Bombyx mori: one gene and its partners. The protein of the gene in region 4 purifies or fractionates together with the protein of the main gene of each other region. This does not show direct contact. Links are inferred from orthologs where the notes say so. Each region holds a gene or a part of one and is shown on either strand. Other genes may lie near its edges.

Evidence for each region.
Region 1: the proteins of SWI/SNF-related matrix-associated actin-dependent regulator of chromatin subfamily E member 1 (region 4) and protein SSXT purify together in Homo sapiens (affinity purification with mass spectrometry; 4 studies listed by BioGRID and IntAct, counting the BioPlex papers as one, with this or other methods). This does not show direct contact. The link is inferred for Bombyx mori from reciprocal best matches to the Homo sapiens genes SMARCE1 and SS18.
Region 2: the proteins of SWI/SNF-related matrix-associated actin-dependent regulator of chromatin subfamily E member 1 (region 4) and AT-rich interactive domain-containing protein 2 purify together in Homo sapiens (affinity purification with mass spectrometry; 7 studies listed by BioGRID and IntAct, counting the BioPlex papers as one, with this or other methods). This does not show direct contact. The link is inferred for Bombyx mori from reciprocal best matches to the Homo sapiens genes SMARCE1 and ARID2.
Region 3: the proteins of SWI/SNF-related matrix-associated actin-dependent regulator of chromatin subfamily E member 1 (region 4) and protein polybromo-1 purify together in Homo sapiens (affinity purification with western blotting; 9 studies listed by BioGRID and IntAct, counting the BioPlex papers as one, with this or other methods). This does not show direct contact. The link is inferred for Bombyx mori from reciprocal best matches to the Homo sapiens genes SMARCE1 and PBRM1.

What each region holds. Positions count from the first base shown.
Region 1 is NC_085110.1:12,910,929-12,915,696, forward strand, and holds protein SSXT, read left to right. Parts: upstream 1-1,421; 5' UTR 1,422-1,736; coding exon 1,737-1,958; intron 1,959-2,433; coding exon 2,434-3,546; 3' UTR 3,547-3,655; downstream 3,656-4,768. UniProt on the Homo sapiens protein: Appears to function synergistically with RBM14 as a transcriptional coactivator. Isoform 1 and isoform 2 function in nuclear receptor coactivation. Isoform 1 and isoform 2 function in general transcriptional coactivation.
Region 2 is NC_085120.1:8,117,718-8,120,874, reverse strand, and holds part of AT-rich interactive domain-containing protein 2, read right to left. Parts: intron 1,308-3,157; coding exon 1,216-1,307; intron 800-1,215; coding exon 697-799; 3' UTR 1-696. UniProt on the Homo sapiens protein: Involved in transcriptional activation and repression of select genes by chromatin remodeling (alteration of DNA-nucleosome topology). Required for the stability of the SWI/SNF chromatin remodeling complex SWI/SNF-B (PBAF).
Region 3 is NC_085132.1:4,583,078-4,587,482, reverse strand, and holds part of protein polybromo-1, read left to right. Parts: intron 1-152; coding exon 153-292; intron 293-1,514; coding exon 1,515-1,617; coding exon of another isoform or gene 1,618-1,618; intron 1,619-2,166; coding exon 2,167-2,208; intron 2,209-3,150; coding exon of another isoform or gene 3,151-3,167; coding exon 3,168-3,351; intron 3,352-4,164; coding exon 4,165-4,256; intron 4,257-4,405. UniProt on the Homo sapiens protein: Involved in transcriptional activation and repression of select genes by chromatin remodeling (alteration of DNA-nucleosome topology). Required for the stability of the SWI/SNF chromatin remodeling complex SWI/SNF-B (PBAF).
Region 4 is NC_085120.1:6,523,005-6,528,148, reverse strand, and holds the start of SWI/SNF-related matrix-associated actin-dependent regulator of chromatin subfamily E member 1, read left to right. Parts: upstream 1-1,869; 5' UTR 1,870-2,028; exon of another isoform or gene 2,029-2,090; intron 2,091-2,887; 5' UTR 2,888-2,895; coding exon 2,896-2,962; intron 2,963-3,683; coding exon 3,684-3,728; intron 3,729-4,079; coding exon 4,080-4,357; intron 4,358-4,499; coding exon 4,500-4,703; intron 4,704-5,144. UniProt on the Homo sapiens protein: Involved in transcriptional activation and repression of select genes by chromatin remodeling (alteration of DNA-nucleosome topology).

The DNA of each region.
Region 1 (4,768 bases), on a different chromosome or scaffold from region 4:
CAACGGCTTAATTTACGAATTGTTTAACATGGTCATGCCAGACAGTCTCGTGCTCATCGTACGAGACTTGTCTTAACTTGTCGAGACTTGAGTTGTCAAACCGTTCGTTTCAATATCGAGTCGAGGAAACTCGCTCTCTCCCGCGACATATCTCGGCCGGAGTCCCGTAAGGCTCCGTTCTCTCCCCGCTACTGTTTAGCCTGTTTATTGACGATACACCTCGGTCGCCCGCCCGATTTACACGAGTAGGAAGATGTCGTTCATGCATAGTAAACTCCAAATCGTGGCCACCAATTTAGGATAGTGGTTCCGGAAGTGGCACATTGGTGCATTGATATCAACCACACAAAAATCACAGCCGTGCTCTCCAAAAGGGGTCGTCCTCCCGAGACTACTGCTAGTATCTTATCACCAATTAGGCGCGGTAACTTCATTTCCGCTATTAAAATCCTTGGCCAGCCCATACCGTGGACTTCGAAAGCTAACTACTAAAGCGTCACTTTCGACAGGGGGATGACATTCGGGTCCCACATTAAGTCAGTACGCGACCGACCCGCGTTCTTCTACCCCATGACCTGCAAGCGAAGTAAAAATTGTGCCTTCATAACAAAGTATTACTCTACAAAACTTGCATACGTTCTGTCACGACCTATGCAAGTGTAGTGTTTGCTCACGCGGCCCGTACACACATTAACCCTTTCCATGTAATAAAACCCCGTTTCTTAAGGATAGCCGTCAGAGAACCGTAGCATATGAGGAACGTAGATCTTCACGATGACCTGAATCTAATACCGATTCGTAAGCATCTTACGGAAGCGCCAGAACGCTACTTCGTCAAAGCGGGGCGATCCGATAACCCTCTTATCGTGGCCGCCGCTAATTACTTATCCGACCGCGACTGGGCAACGCAAGGCGCCGTTGCCCGAAATATGTCTTTTCGGATCCCCCGGATTGACTCTCGGTACTTTTAGGACCCTGAAGCATCGGTCACAGAGCTCGTCGATTACGACGATGAGTTCGGGAGCTCACTTACCCGTCCGGGTGTAGCTGGAATAGCCTCTTAATATCCCAGTGAATAGTTAGGAGAGAAAAAAAGACGAAATTGTGAATGAAATGAAATTGATTTTGAGACAAAGGTTAAAGGCTTATTACACTGGCTAAATTTAGTCGACTGAATTCAGAAGCAAATTTAGAAGCTTCTGATTACACTGTTCTAAATTTAGTTACTAAATAAATTGTCACATGGTTTTTTTGTAGAACCCGACAAACTTCATCTTTCGATTTGTTTTCCGTAATAAGCATTTGTGCAATTTTACACAATGATAGTATATAGAATGAATCTTACGACATTAAAGAATAATGTTACTAACTCGTACGGACTCAAAACACGCCCTACCACAAGTAGCTTTTCTAAAAGTCTCAGCAAATTACTCCTATTTAGCCGACAAATTAATTTAATTAGTTTATTTTATTCAATTCTCTTTATACAATTTCAATCAAAAATAAAGATAATTCTTGCGTTATGATTTATTTTATTTTTCAGTGCTTTAGCTTTTGCATCTAACTTTCGTATAGCCTATGTTCCCTCTGCCCCTACTCTGCTATTAAACTCTTTGGTTTGTCCAATTTCTGAACAAATCAAACAAAAAATAAAATCAAGTAAATTAAAAATCTATGAATTTTCTACCTGAAGTGCTATGTAATAGAGGAATAATAGCAATATTTTAAATTACACAATGTCTGTAGCGTTTGCGGCACGAGGAAATCGTCCTCCTTTAAGTCCGGCACAAATACAAAAAATGTTGGATGAAAATGCTCATCTAATACAAACAATACAAGAATACCAAGCAAAAGGGCAAATAATGGAATGTCACCAATATCAGCAAATACTGCACAGGAACTTGGTTTATCTCGCATCTGTAGCTGACGCTAACCAAAATATACAGAGCATTTTACCGGTAACATTTTTTTATTACTTCATTAAGACATACATGGCATGGCCAACCTGGTGTTTAGCGGACTCCTTTAACATAACGAAGGCGTCACCCTTCAAACCGGAATGAACGTGGATTTTTGGACTTTATTTTCAGTGGAGACATTATTTAAAACAATAAAATTTATGTTTGTTTGAAATGGAAAAATTCTGATTAGTTGAGAGAAAGTGACAGAAAGGAATCAAATAAAGCAAAATAATCTATTAATTTTCATTATGTTAAACACTAGAGATGATTTGTGTATCTTGAAATTAGGATAATTAGTCTAGCTTGTTCACAAAGTAGTTCAATTTAGGTGCTGATACAACTTCTGGCAGCCTGTTCCATTCCATGATTATATGGTTTGGTTCATCAAAGGGCTTATCTGATGAGATATTCTACTTAAAAGTTATTTTGTACTGAAAGAATATATAGAATTAGTTGTTTTTTTTACTTTCAGCCTCCTCATCAATTAGCCACCGGAAATGTATCTCAATCTCCACCTATAAATCCCCCAACCAATGCAACTGATGCATCTGCTGGTGGTCAACAAGCCTACAGACAACCTTCAAGTGTTAGTTCAACACCAACAAGACCAACTCAATCATATGCTCAAAGACCTTATGGTCAAGGTCAATATCAAGGCCAGTATCAGAATGCACCTGGAGGGTACCCTCCACAAACGGGATATGGCTCTAATAATCAAGGATATGCTCCACCTAATCCATCCCAACCCCAAGGCTATCCTCCGAACTCTAATTATGGTCCACCAATTACAACAACTCCAAATAACTATCCACCATCTACTCATCCAGGATCTAACTATCCACCTTCTTCGTCTCAACAACCTTATGCACCACCTTCTGGTAGCCCAGTTTCAGCTGGTGCTCCATATCCTGTGCGTGGCTCATCTCAACCACCATACACTGGAAATTCCACATATCCTCCAGGTCAAGCTGGCTCAAATTATTCTAATGTTGGTGTAAGTACTTATAATTCAACTGCTCAACCACCACAACCATACCAGTCACAACCATTTCCAAATACAACTCCAACATCTGCATATAGTTCAACATCAACTTCTCAGCCTAACCGTTCTCCTCAACCCCCAAACAATTATTCTCAACAGAATCCTACAAGTTCCACTTATGGATCACCATCTGCCCAGTCACCAACCTATAATACTAGTCCCCATGGAAGTAGTGTCCTTACAACTGCCTCATCTGGTGGACAAACACCAAGTGGTCCTACTGGACAACAATATCAGGCTCCTTCACAACCATCACCTTATACACCTGTTACACAACCTTATTCAAACCCTTCCTCGCAACCTGGGAGTCCAGCTCCTTCAGTATCCACTGCTCCACCTCCTACTTCCTATGCTCAAACACCTCAAAATTATCCACCAGCTGGAGGTGCGTATCCACCGCATGCATATCAACAGGGATATCCACCAGCACAGTATCCACCCTCCCCTTATCCTTACACACGAGCACCCGCTCCTGGTGCTCCACCTCCTGGTAATCCACAACCGTACCCAGGTTATGGATTCCAACCTCCTGCCCAGCAATGATTTGCATATTTTTAAAACCTTATAATAAATATGCTTAGGTTTAAACCCCAAAACCTATTAAAGTGTACTTCTACATTCTAATAATTTGAAAATAAAATATAGTGAGTGATATTTTGTTTTAATTCAAAAATTTTACATACTACAATAACTAATTCGTTACAGTATCCTACTAAAATGAACAATTGAAATAATACAAGGATCAAAATTGATCAAATAACTTTATCAGCTCTTTGAATTCACTTAATGCAAAAATTTGGGGCTGTTTGATATCAATGATCATCACTATGTTACATCATCATTAATTTAAAGACTTGTGATTTTTGTAACAATTATATTTTTAAATCCATCGCATGCTATCAAGGAACAGTCATTGAATTGGATTAATTAGAATAATTTGTAGATATGTTACAGTACTGAAAGTTATTAATTAGAAAAAATTTTGCATTATCAAAGTTGGTTTTATTGAACTAGGATTTATAACGGCCCACATGAGGGTAAAGTTACCGTCGTTAATGCCAACTCAGCGTAGCCAAGACTACCGCTCAGGACTCATAACAAACCACATTTGAACAAGAACTCTTCTTCAGGAAAATTATGCTGGGAGTTCATATAATGTCATGGTAGGTAGTAAAAAGTAGATGGTAGGATCACCTGAACCAAATATCTCACATTACGTACACCCCATGAAACATAAAAAAACCCAAAGGACCTGAAGTTGCATGTAGGCCTGGAGATTCTAGGCAAACCGAAAGTCATTTGTAGTCGTCGTGGCCTAAAGGATAAGACGTCCGGTGCATTCGTGTGTAGCGATGCACCGGTGTTCGAATCCCGCAAGCGGGTACCAATTTTTCTAATGAAATACGTACTCAACAAATGTTCACGATTGACTTCCACGGTGAAGGAATAACATCGTGTAATAAAAATCAAACCCGCAAAATTATAATTTGCGTAATCACTGGTGGTAGGACCTCTTGGAAGTCCGTACGGGTAGGTACCACCACCCCGCCTATTTCCGCCGTGAAGCAGTAATGCGTTTCGGTTCGAAGGGTGGGGTAGCCGTTGTAACTTTACTGAGACCTTAGAACTTATATCTCGAGGTGGGTGGCGCGTTTACGTTGTAGATGTCTATGGGCTCCAGTAACCACTTAACACCAGGTGGGCTGTGAGCTCGTCCACCCATCTAAGCAATAAAAAAAAAAAAACATTAACACGACAGGATCAG
Region 2 (3,157 bases), about 1.6 Mb from region 4:
GTATTGAATACGATATTGTAACTGAGGCATTTCTCTATCGATTCAGCTTACCGTCCTATTTGAGAAAATGCAAAAATATTTTATATTTTTATAATAAATAATAAAATAGTGACATATTTTTTTTTCATCTTCTCGAAAAAAAAATTGCAAGACCAACTTCATACACATTTCATTCATTTTATGCATCGTTTAACTAACTCTTTATTTTTTTATTTTTTTTAATCTTTACTTATTACAAACACAAAAAAGATAAAGCAAACGGAACTTCGTTCGAATTAGTTGTCAATGAAACATAAGTCTCTATTGTTTTTTTTTTTCTCAAACTTACAGTAGAACAAGTTTCATTCATACAAAACAATTATCATTATACCTTACTTTATTAAAAAAAAACTATACTTAAAGTCTAGATCCACTCGTTCGCGCACTAATAAGACATATACACACAATCGAACGTGACCCGTTTAAAAATTTCATAAAATACTGATCATGTATTAGACATACAAAATGACAGTTCGTGTTGCGCCACGCTTAAGGCCGATTTTATAGGACGTTAAAGAGAAAAAAAAAAATTTTATTTCTTGTTGTGCCACGCTTAAGGCCGATTTTATATGACGTTAGAGAAAAAAAAATTTTTTTTTTTCAACGCGGCTCTGCTTTTCACACGTCCGCTCAGGGCTTGTGCCCATTAAGCGATTCTCATATGTTGTTCATGTCGTACAATACTTGGGCGATCGTGCGCGAGGCTTCGACCGTGCTGAGCGCGATCGCGGACAAATGCGATTCGTACGAACGCAATTGCCTGAAACAACGTAAATAAATAAGGTTTTTTTTTCCTACCTAAGCTGATAGCCTTGAGAGGCTATATAAGCGTAACCTTAACTAGTAAGTGACCTCAAACCGGAGTGTTGCTAACACTGGCCCTAGCAAGAGCAGTGCTTCGCAAAATCTACCACCGGATCGGAAATGCAAGCCACTGAGAAGATCCGGCGAGAAACTCAGTGGGCTGTGTCTGTGGGTTAATTCACTCGTCGAACCCTTAGTCGCAAGCGACGGGTTTGAAGAGGACGGTGACCGGTGCTTGTGATGCCTAAAAGCACCGTTAATGGATCAGGAGGATCCGTAATGACGTGTTTAGGACCACGTCGACTGTTTACCATTCCACCGGATCGGGTATGAAAAGTCGGAGATAACAACATATTTAAATTTAAAACTCACCGTCTTCCTGTATTCGAATAAATGACGATATTCCTCAGGATGAGGGCGGCCGTCAATCTAATGCTCTTCGTTACGGGACCTTCATTTTCGTCCTGGATCAACACAAAAATACATTACCGAGGACTTTCCACATTAACAATACTATTTAAAAAACAAACAAAAAACGACATCGTCAAATCGTAAATTTAACAACAAAAATATCTTCACACCATTTTATTACATATAATTTCCCAACCTATAAGAGCATGCATGTTTCATGAAAAATCTAGTTTTTTTTTTGTTGTCTATATATCATATTTTTATTTAACAATTGTAGTTGTATACTTCTATATTTGCGTAATAACTTTCCGAAAGCATTCAATGAAAGCACGAACGAATAAAGAACCAATAGATACAAAAGTTTGAGATTAGCAAAGCAAGAAACACGATAATGGAGCCGACATGTAGATCAATCTCTTAATAATCTATACTAATATATAAATCTACAGTTGTTTTTACGGATTTTCCGTTATAACTACTGAACCATGCATCCGATTGACTTGAAACTTGGTATCCATGTAGAAAATACATGTACTTAATGGATAGGCTAATATTTATATCAGCATTGGACTCCCTACACCAGTTGCGGGGGCATTAATGATGAGAATCTTTTTGGGGATGAGAAATAATAATGTTAATTTTAAGTGCCCAGCGATGCGGACGGGTACAGCTAGTTATAGTATAAAGACAGTTGGACGTCACAATCCCTTCCCGTCCCATCACCCACCTCGATACACGTACTGGAAGGTCTCATTTGTGTTGTATAAACGACTAACCCGCCCTTCTTATCTAAACTAAAGACTGTTATGGAGATTTTAAGGGCAGGGTGGCGGTAACCACCCGTATGTTCCGCAAGAAACCCTAACATTGACAAACCGTGTAACTCACTTTTGTACACAACGTTACGTTAAATTCAAATCGATTATTATTACATTTAAAAACCGAATAAAATCGATATTTCTTAAAAACAAATACTAGTCACATACTGATATTTTAAAATCGCCTCAGAAAAGTTTTTTTTAACGAATCGCGTGTAACTTTTTGAGTCTCTTTATTCCGCAGTTTCAGGTATTTTGCGGCGTAGTTCCGCTAGATTTTGTATTGGCTATTCAGTTAACCGAGTTAAATGGATTTTTGTTTTTATTTTTCCCTGAATTAGTGAAACGAATTAGGTTGTAATTCGTCGCCCCGTACCCACTTGACATTGAGTTTCGGGGCAGTTTATTATATATTGTATCATACAAGTGTGTGTAGCGATGTCAACGTCAGAATCGATATATAGCCCGTTATATAGAAGTTTTTTTTAATTCACATAGAAAGATTTTTAACGTTTTCCATCCGTATGACACATCGGTTGAATTACTGGTGGTAGTTTACGTCGTAGATGTCTATAGGCTCCAGTAACCGCTTAACATCAGGTGGGCTGTGAGTTCGTCCACTCATCTAAGCAATTAAAAAAATTTAAAAAGTATTTTTCTTTCTTTCTTTTCTTTTTCCATTTTTTTTCAAATGATCTACCTAATCAAAACTCAAAACTTCGTACACAGCTCAGAGTTGGATGAAAATAATGGAAGTAAATTTCATACTTAAGCCTCGTGTTTTAAAGGTGTCACTAAAAACTATATTACTTATTCCTGTTTACTTTCGTCTAGGGCCCGGCACATCTAGTGCTATTGACAGAATTTCATAGACGCAACTTTTTTTTTCCTACCTATGCAGATAGCCTTGGAAGGCTATTACAGCTTCGCCCTAACATGTAGGTGAGCTCACGGGGTTCAAACCGGAGTGTTGCTAACACTGACCCTAGCAAGAGCAGTGCTTCGCAGAATCTACCACCGGATCTGAAACGCGACCCACTTAGAAGATCCAGTAAGAAACTCAGGGGGCTGTGTCTGTGGGCTAG
Region 3 (4,405 bases), on a different chromosome or scaffold from region 4:
AATAATATGAACCGTGACATAATTTCTCTCGTTAATTTTTTACGCTCCCCCGAACCGGACCGCAGAAAGAGAAGGCACGAGAAAGATTATGTCGCGCAACCCTAACACGAAGGTACGTCTGGGCTAAGGCTCGCTTTGAATGATTCCGCCAGGCGACATATCGCGCATCGTGGGCAACGAGTGGCGCTCGCTGCCCGCCGCCACCAAGCAGAGCTGGGAGGAGCGAGCCGCGCGCTGCAACGAGGAGACCGCCGCCAGGCTCGCCGACGAGATGCGCGAGTTGGCGCAACACGTTAGTGCCCAAACAACCGCCAAACAGCGACCCAAATACCTTTTGCATCGTCCTCTAACGACAAGAAATGCCATTCTACAATCATATCTATTTCGAAGTGAAACTTCTTTAGGATCGTTGCGATTTCAAACTCGATGAAACGAAAAAATAAGTCCATAGAGACACAAACACATAAATGTATAGGATTCAGCCGGCGAGAGAATGAGATAGAACACATTAGATGTTGTCGGTCTCCTCTTTTTGCGACTCTTCGTAGTATCCCCACTATCGTCTACTAAACATTGTCCATATGTATGCTCCTGTGTAGTGGGATAGTCAGTCACACACTTTTTTTCCTACCTATTCTAGAAACCTCGAGGAGTTATTCTAGATTCACAGTGGGCTATGTCTATGGGTTAATTTACTCATCGAGCCCTTCGTTGCAAGCGACGGGTTCGGCGAGGACGGTGACCCGTACTTGAAGTATCTAAAAGCACCGTTACTGGATCGGGAGGATCCGTAATGACGTGCTTAGGGCGACGTCGACTGTTTACCATTCGGTCCACAGGATCGGGTATGATCATATCAATGATGACGAATCTCGATGACTATAACATTGGCCCCGAATCGGCGGTACTGAGTAAACACAACCCTGTTGAAACTGGAAAGGCACCCGGGCTACAAGTGATCCATGTCTTAAAAAAAAAACAAAAAAAAACCGTGCACGTGAATGAAGTGAAACTTCTTTTTTGATGTGTAGTAATGTGGTTTTCATCCTTAAATCAGATTGCTCTTGTAATAGAGAAGGCTGTGTATAAAAGATACGTCATCTTCAACACTTATATTATATATATTTTAAATTATAGATAGAAAAATAAATATATATATTTTTAAATACTTCATTAAAATATTGGACGCTACTCGTTGTAACAGGAATACTATGCGCTTGCGCTCGAGTGACACGCATTCACTCTCGCTCTGTCTCTTTCTATTCCATGGCAGAGTTAAACGTTTAACGCAACCTTGTTGGAAGTCACATTAGAAGTTTCACTTAAAAAAAAAAGTAAGCACACTCCCGGAACGTGCATGATTCTTATAACAGACAGACCACTGTAGAGGTTTTCAAGCTCGCACCTTAACACTTGATTGTCAAAGAAGAACCAGTCATAAAATGGTCAGCGTTATGCAATATACTTTAATGAAAACATAGACATTAATTTAGTGAATGTATTAATATTTTTAGACAACAATGGAGATGACGTACGAATGCGCCTGGGACACGTGCGACTGTCAGTTCGAGGACCTGACCGACTGCATGGAGCACTGCATCGGCGACGGAGGAAACAGTAAATATCTTTACATTTTACACATTTCATTTGGAAGCTTTGAAAAGTGCTTAGGCTTAAAAAAAAACACTTCTAAGAAATTCGAGTAGATTCTTCTCGAAATATCATGTCTATTCATTACAGTCATTCCGTCAAGTAAATTAAGGGATTTTAAAATTAATAGGAAGTAATTTAGACTTTGATCTCCCATCACAAGGCGAAACAAATGATATAATTTTTGAAGTTATACTTCTACACATATACAAAATTATTTCATATAATTCATACTAAATATTATTAAATTATTAACGTTAAATATTTATTATTAATCATTGAATATTTAAAAAAAAAAAGAAATAATTTTAATAAAAATGAAGTATAACTTCTTACATAAGCACACGCACCCTTTTTTTTTTGTTTGTTTCTATGCTACTCACTCTGTTTGTATTGTATGTCTTAAATTCAGTATTAAAAGTTTATTTTATTCTCTGACTCAACTTGCGTTCTCGTATGGGAGCTAGATAGACTTTTGCTAATGTGTTTTTTGTTCGTACTTTAAAACGCTGCCAGTGATCGGAACGTATCTAGAACCGAAAAGACCTAAACTAGAGCGTAAGTATCAAGTTGAAATCGTTGGAACGGTGATACTCAACTACACAACTCTAAAAATGTGCAGCTAAATTTTATAAATGAGTCGTCTATTATCAAAGGTGGCAATCTGTGCATTTGGACAAAAAAATGTTATTGATATGTCAATACAGATTGATTTGAATATAATCGTCTCCTTCAAAGAATACGGTTCAAAATCTGCATTAAATAAAGGTTAATAGTTAACCTGTTATTTATCTAAGATGTCGTTCGGAAGAGTTTTGTGACTACCAATGGAATACAAAGTCAATAATTCGTTTTTCTGATTTACCAATAATTGTCCAAAAGTCACATTGCCGGCTTTGATAATAGTCGACTCAAATTTGCTTAGAAAAAATTAGTTTTTATTTTATTACGAGCAAAGTTTAGATTAATTAATAGTACCTAATCAGAATAACGTCGTTGTCAAACCAAAATCTGCTATGTGTAAAAACTCTATTTTGAATTAACGAGTAAAAAAAACATTTTCGTATGAAATTTTTATATGAAGGTGAATTTTTATGAACTCTATCAAATGAAAGCTATAGATGAAGTATTAAAGCTATAGACACATAACAGTTTTTCTTATACGGTAGACAGGGCTGTGAACTATACGAAAAGTGCACATAGCAGATTTTGGCTTACAACGACGATATGTTAAAATTTTAAATAGTACAATATATAATAACAAAATCCTTTTTTTGTGTCGATCAAAACAACTTCAACGTAATTTATTTAAAGTTTAAAGTAATTTGTAACATACGGGACTGCATTGAAAACATTCGACAAATATTCGACGATTAACGTGCAAACGAAAACAGTAGTATTTATTACGTATGAAGTCGTCGAAATTTGTCGATGATTCGGTGCGGCCCCGGGGCCCGAGTGCGGCGTTGTTAATGAACGTCCACAATGTGGTCCGCCGGGAACATGCGTGAACGCAGCGGGGCACATCCAGCAACACTACCGCGGCTCGTTCAGCGAGTACCCCTGTCTGTGGCGGAACTGCGCGCGCGTGCGCAAGGGGCAGGCGCCCTTCCCCAACCTGCCGCGCCTGCTGCGACACGTGCGCGACCTGCACGTCAACAAGGGCAACGGACGACTCATGGCCGTGCATGAACGCTCCAGGTACGCACGCACGCACACACGCACGAGCACGCGCGCGCGCACACAAACAAACAAACACACACACACACATGCACTCACACACATGCACACACACACGCACATATATCGAGAGGCGAAAGTCTATTTAGTTAAAGCAACATTTCGCTTCATCATCAGCCTGTATCTCTCCACTGCTCGGTGTGAGCCTCTCCCATAGTCTGCAACTAAATTTTTATTATGATATTTTAAACTTTAAATGGCTCCCCTGTGAAGTTGCTAAAAGGTCGCTTAAAGCACCTTTCTAGCTTTTCACCCCTCGATATATACCACCGCAATGTCCGGCCTTAGATTTAGCTTCACGTTCTTAACGCAGCGTTTGCGTGATCGCGTCCACAAACTTCAGAAGCTTTTGATCATCCAAAATTTTTATCTTTGATTCATTATTTATCATGTTATTATTATTATTATGATTTTATACAGTGAACCCGCAATGTACCGAGAAGTTGTCAGTCTCGTAGAACATTTTCGTTCAAGCTGGCGCAATATGTTTTGATGAAGATGAATAAATAAACCGGACCTCACGGACAAGCTGTTACACAAACAAAATCAGTTTTCACTTTCGATTTTTGAACAGATTTTCAATTTTTTTTTACTATAACACATTTGGGAACATTTTTTTTTAATGAACCTTACAATAAAAACTGTAAGTAACAAAGCAAGTAAAACGAAAGTATATCTTAGATGCCAGTGATTACGGTCGAACTTCGATGACAAAGCAAATATGTACCGCTTACAAAAAAAAACTTATAATAAATTAATAATTTTTTGATTTAGGAATTTCATGCTGTCATCGAAGAAGCCGCGGCCGGCGGTGCGGAGCGGCGTCATGTCCCCCGGAGGTACAAATAGCAGTAGTAATAGCCAAGGTTCGCATGCTGACGTACTAACAAACGGGACCGGCGCTCCACGCACACTAACCGAACAGTGTGCTTAGTGCGAGCTTTTTAACGTTCTCGATAGCGTAAAAGTTAACTCAGATTTGTATGGAGCTAGAACAGCGCCCCTAGCGGCAAAC
Region 4 (5,144 bases):
AGTATAGTTACAACGGCTGCCCCACCCTTCAAACCGAAACGCATTACTGCTTCACGGCAGAAATAGGCAGGGCGGTGGTACCTACCCGCACGGACTTACAAGAGGTCCTACCACCAGTAAAAGTAGTTATAACAATGTTGCATGATTAAATTCACTCAAGATGAAAATGTCTTTAATAGCCTCTAGATAATAAGGAGCCTCTAGGATCTTAATAACGAGTTTTTAGTTAAAATACGTTTAGATTTAGTCTTATAATGGAAACGTTAAAAAAGCGATTGATTTATGTAGATTATGTAAATCGTTACCAGTTTTCCATCGATGGACGTCGCCAACGATCTACCTCGTGTGTGCTTAGTGCGAGGGTTTTAACTGCTCGATCGCGTAGAAATTAAATCAAATTTGTATGGAGTTGGAACAGCTTCCCTTCGTACGCCGCCTCTAGCGAAGAAGAACTGAAGACAGAGCCGAGTTGGACCATCTGAATTAAAACAATAGTACACAATTATATAATTGGGCTGTGAGGTCGTCCACCCATCTAAGCAATAAAAAAAACCACAGTCTCGATCAGCGTGTTTGTCCCGCACTAGTGAATCTGAATACTCTGTTTCCAAAGCCGCAGACATAAGTCATACACAATACGTAGCCTTAGTTTATACATGTACAGATAGGCTCAAACAATGAAACCTGGTAACATGACAATTAGCATTATTATCATCTACTAATTTCGCAATGTCAAGCCACACCTATCTCGGAATAATATTAAAAGGTACCCTAGCTTCATATGCTAGATAGCTTTTATCGAATCCATGAATGCTCACTTGCACTCCGCCCATAGTCAAAACAGCCCTTCGTTGTGAATGAGTTTATATGACCATTGCATGTATTTATAATGTATTTTGGTGTGACTTAAATAACATTTAATTTTTTAATAAATTAATTTAAAAATTTGTTCAGTGCGCTTTGAAGAAACTAACTGCATTCTAGCAGTTATTATCTTTATGTATTTACCATTAGCGTAGGTATTGCTCTAATGTAAATTGTGTGTGACGATAGCAACAATAATCATCAAGGGCGTTATTTGCAAGTAAAAAAAAAGAAGACAATGTAACGTTTTTTCATAACAACAACGCGATCCGATTACCCCCTTTATCGTGTATCGTTGTGTTGGCATTTTATCTTCCAAACCAGCTTCTTTCTTCTTCTTCTTTTTTTTTTAAATCTGACATTTGTTTTCTTAATGTTTATTTATGGCCAATAGTTACATTCTCTTTTATCTTAGTTTAATTTAAAAGATTTCTACATACAGAGTATATAAAAGCTTCTATTATTCCGTTATATGAAAAATGCTGTGCGATATGAGATTAACTTCATTAATTTGAGTCTTCAATCAATTGGGATGAAATTAAAAGAGACGACATGAAATGGGATAAAAAAAAGTAAAGTCTCCGTAAAATACAGTTTTTTTAGGATTGAGAGATTACTGGTGGCCCGGAGGCCTTTTCAATTTCGCCAGGACAGATCGGCGAGCAAACACTCAGCCAGGATTTGCTAACAACTGCCCGAGCGCCTCCAAAGAGACCTAACAACCCACGAGCAGCAAAATAGTGGTTATTTACTGAAAGTTCGGTGGATTTTTTCGAAAAACCAGAGATGCCACGTTCGGTGGCTTGTGTTTAATTTTCCCACATTTGTACATACACTTTCACTAATGCCAAATAGTTAACAAATCACAATTTTTACACAATTAAACGCGAAGAGATCCAAAATCAACATTTTAAAACGACCTTAGAATGAACGTACAATTTAATAATCGACTAACAAAACTATGTGTTACATTTGATACCATAAATTGCTCTACTCTAATCTACGTTGACAACGTCAATTGTCATTTGGTTCAATTAAATTAAAAATGGAATGAAAGATGGAGATTGAAATAGGCCCGTTAGTATTTTAATGAAAAAGACGCGTTGCCATTATCGAGCCTTTTAAAAATTAAACCAAGCTTGAACTTTCAATAAAAGCGATAAGGTAGTACGATACATCATTTATTAAGTTTTAACTTACTTTACTCTTTGGTTTTTACTAAATAAGTAAGTAAGTAATATGGTTGCATAAAACTTTATTTTTATAAACAATGTATCTTGATAGCGGATTTGTTCGTATTACAACAAAAAAGTAAACAGACTTACAAAATAATTGTTGCATTATTTCCAAGCAATTTCATTCAAAAAAATTAAACATTTTAAGTTATCTTTAAATTCAAATACATCCGTACTGTTGGCATTTTCATTAAGATGTTTAACAATGCAAACACAGCGTGATCATAGCCTCTTTATATTAGCCTATCCAAATAAGACTCCAATTTAATCATTTGTAATATTAGTCATTCAGCCTCCCTTCAACAAAGTGGTTATAAAATGAAGCGAATAAAAAAGAACTGACTTTCAATATCGACGTCGTCTCTTGTTTTTTTCAGTTTTGTGATTTCCACCTATAACATTTTAATTAAAAGTATTAAGTACAGATTAAGGATATATTTTTGTTTGTTTTCCCAAACACCTTATGTAGACTAGAAATCATTAAATGAAACTTAATAAAATGCAAACGAGGGGATTGAAATTAAATTGCCATAACTGCAATACATTTTTTAAATAATCCCCATTATACAGCTGGTGTTCTTTCTGTAATTATATACATCCCAAAAATTTGAACAAGAAGTGCTTGTGAAGTAGTTTCACCAGTATTGAGTTTGTAATGGTGTGAGACTTGTTTTATAAAATGTATAATATGACTATGACACTAGCTCATAAACTATGAGTACAAAAAATAAAGAATGATAAGCCAATAAATATGCTTGTTTTGGAATAAATTCAAAATTTGGTTTCAGGTGTGCCAATGGCTACACAAAACAATTACAAACAAAACACTTCGATGTCAATGCCCAGTCCTCAGAGCAATCCGCGTTTGTATTACCAACTATAATCACAAAAAATTTAAATATATATTTTATTAAATTTTAAATATTATTAATGTAGTGAATGTTGACTGCCATTGAATTTGTAATGATATGTTCTAAACAGCTAATTTTATTTAAAAACTAGATAATACTAATCTTTTAAAAATGTTTCCTTTTATATAAACTTTGTTGGATTTTCTCTTAATTTAAGTCTGATCTGATTTAAATGTTTCCTGAGACCTCTTCATATTTACATTGATATGCTGTGAGTTTTCTTGCAGCAAAATAATGGAGGGACAAGATGGCAATCAACACATTACACTGTATATTTTAAATTATAAATTAGTAAGAAATAAGTTAGTAATAAGCTAATGTAATGATAGCAGTGCTAATTACGTTTAGATTTTTTTAATAAAATATTAATGGCAATAGTTATAGTATTTTATCAAATAGATTGTTTATTGTTAGTAAGAATGTTGTTAGATACTAACTTCATTAACATGTGAAGTTGTCGCCATTGCAAGCTTGGCAGTGCTGAGAACTGTACCTGATATAGCTGGTATCTAACTGCATTTAAACTTTTTACTTAGAGCATGACTCCCATATCTTAGCTTTTAAGCTACAGTAACAAAACTTATTTTTTTCTTACTTTAATTTTATCCTAATGCATTTTAGACTTACATTCCATTATGTTGGTTTTGTTTCATGTTTTGTTATAATGATACAGACTACATGATTGCGGGCCCCCCAATGAGTTTCGGCATGATGAAAGGTAATGCCACAATCTAAATTGACTTTCTATTCAAAATTTTGTATCACACACCCATTTTCGTTTCAAAACTTAGGTATTTCTGTGGGGTTATTAAAAAAGATAATTGCACAAAATTTTTCTCTTCTCTCAACGACACAAGCCATCACCTCTTTAGTCTTTCGCTAATTAAAGCCTACTAAAAAATTTACAGCTAGATTGCTCGCAAATAACTTTCTTAACGTTTATTTTTTAATTTTTCTAGATGTTTTAGTGCATATTTGAATTTTTGTTGGCTCCCCTCCCGTCCTGCTCCTTTACGCTTTTTGTTTTTTTTTTCTTTCATTGTATTGCCGCCCGCTGCTTGGCTTGAAGGCGGTATGAATGCACCGTCGCCGCACCATAACCAATATCAGTACCACCCGCAATACCAAGGTGGGGGGGGCATGGTTCACCCGGGTCCCCCGGGGGGCTACGGCCCGTGGCACGCCCCCCAGCAACAGGGCCGTTTCGCTGCAGAGGGCGCCCGCCGCGCGGCCTCCGCCTCACAGCCCTCACAAGGTGCCAAAGATGATAAGACAAGTCCATTTGTATCCACCGTACATTCACATCCTGGATTCCAACCTCAGAAAATCGGGAAAGGTGCTGGTGTTGTAAGTATAATCTGTATCACTATTTGTTACTGTATTCAAAATACACTTTACATTAATACAAAAAGCCACAAATACCAAAAACTGTCTTAACTTATAAAATTTTTGTTTCCTATATAACAAACCATATTTATTACTACCCCAGGGAGCCGGACTACCAAAGCCACCAAAACCTCCAGAAAAACCTCTCATGCCGTACATGAGGTACTCACGCCGTGTATGGGACAGTGTAAAAGCAGCACATCCAGACCTCAAACTATGGGAAATTGGACGTATAATAGGCGGCATGTGGAGGGACCTGCCTGAATCTGAGAAAGCTGGGTTTGTCGATGAATATGAAGCTGAAAAGGTATGAGAGGCTGTCTGCTGATGCAAAATCTATACTTCTATACTTAATATACACTACAGTGGTTTTTACGGATGTTCCATTATAACTACTGAACCATGCATCCGATTGACTTGAAACTTAGTATCCATGTAGAAAATACATGTACTTAATAGATGGGCTAATATTTATATGAGTGTTGGACTCCCTACACCAGTTGTGGGGGTGTTGACGATGAGAATCTTTATGGGGGTGAGAAATAATAATGTTTATTTTAAATGCCCAGAGAAGCAGACGGGCACAGCTAGTAACATATAAAAATGCTTAAAGAAACAAATTGCAATTTCTGTGTACAATTATACATTTAAAATAATGTTTTTTATTTATTTTATTAACTATTGCTGCTAAATACTGAGAGCAAGTATTGGATCTCTATGATGTAAACGAAACTCTCAGCCCATAGAT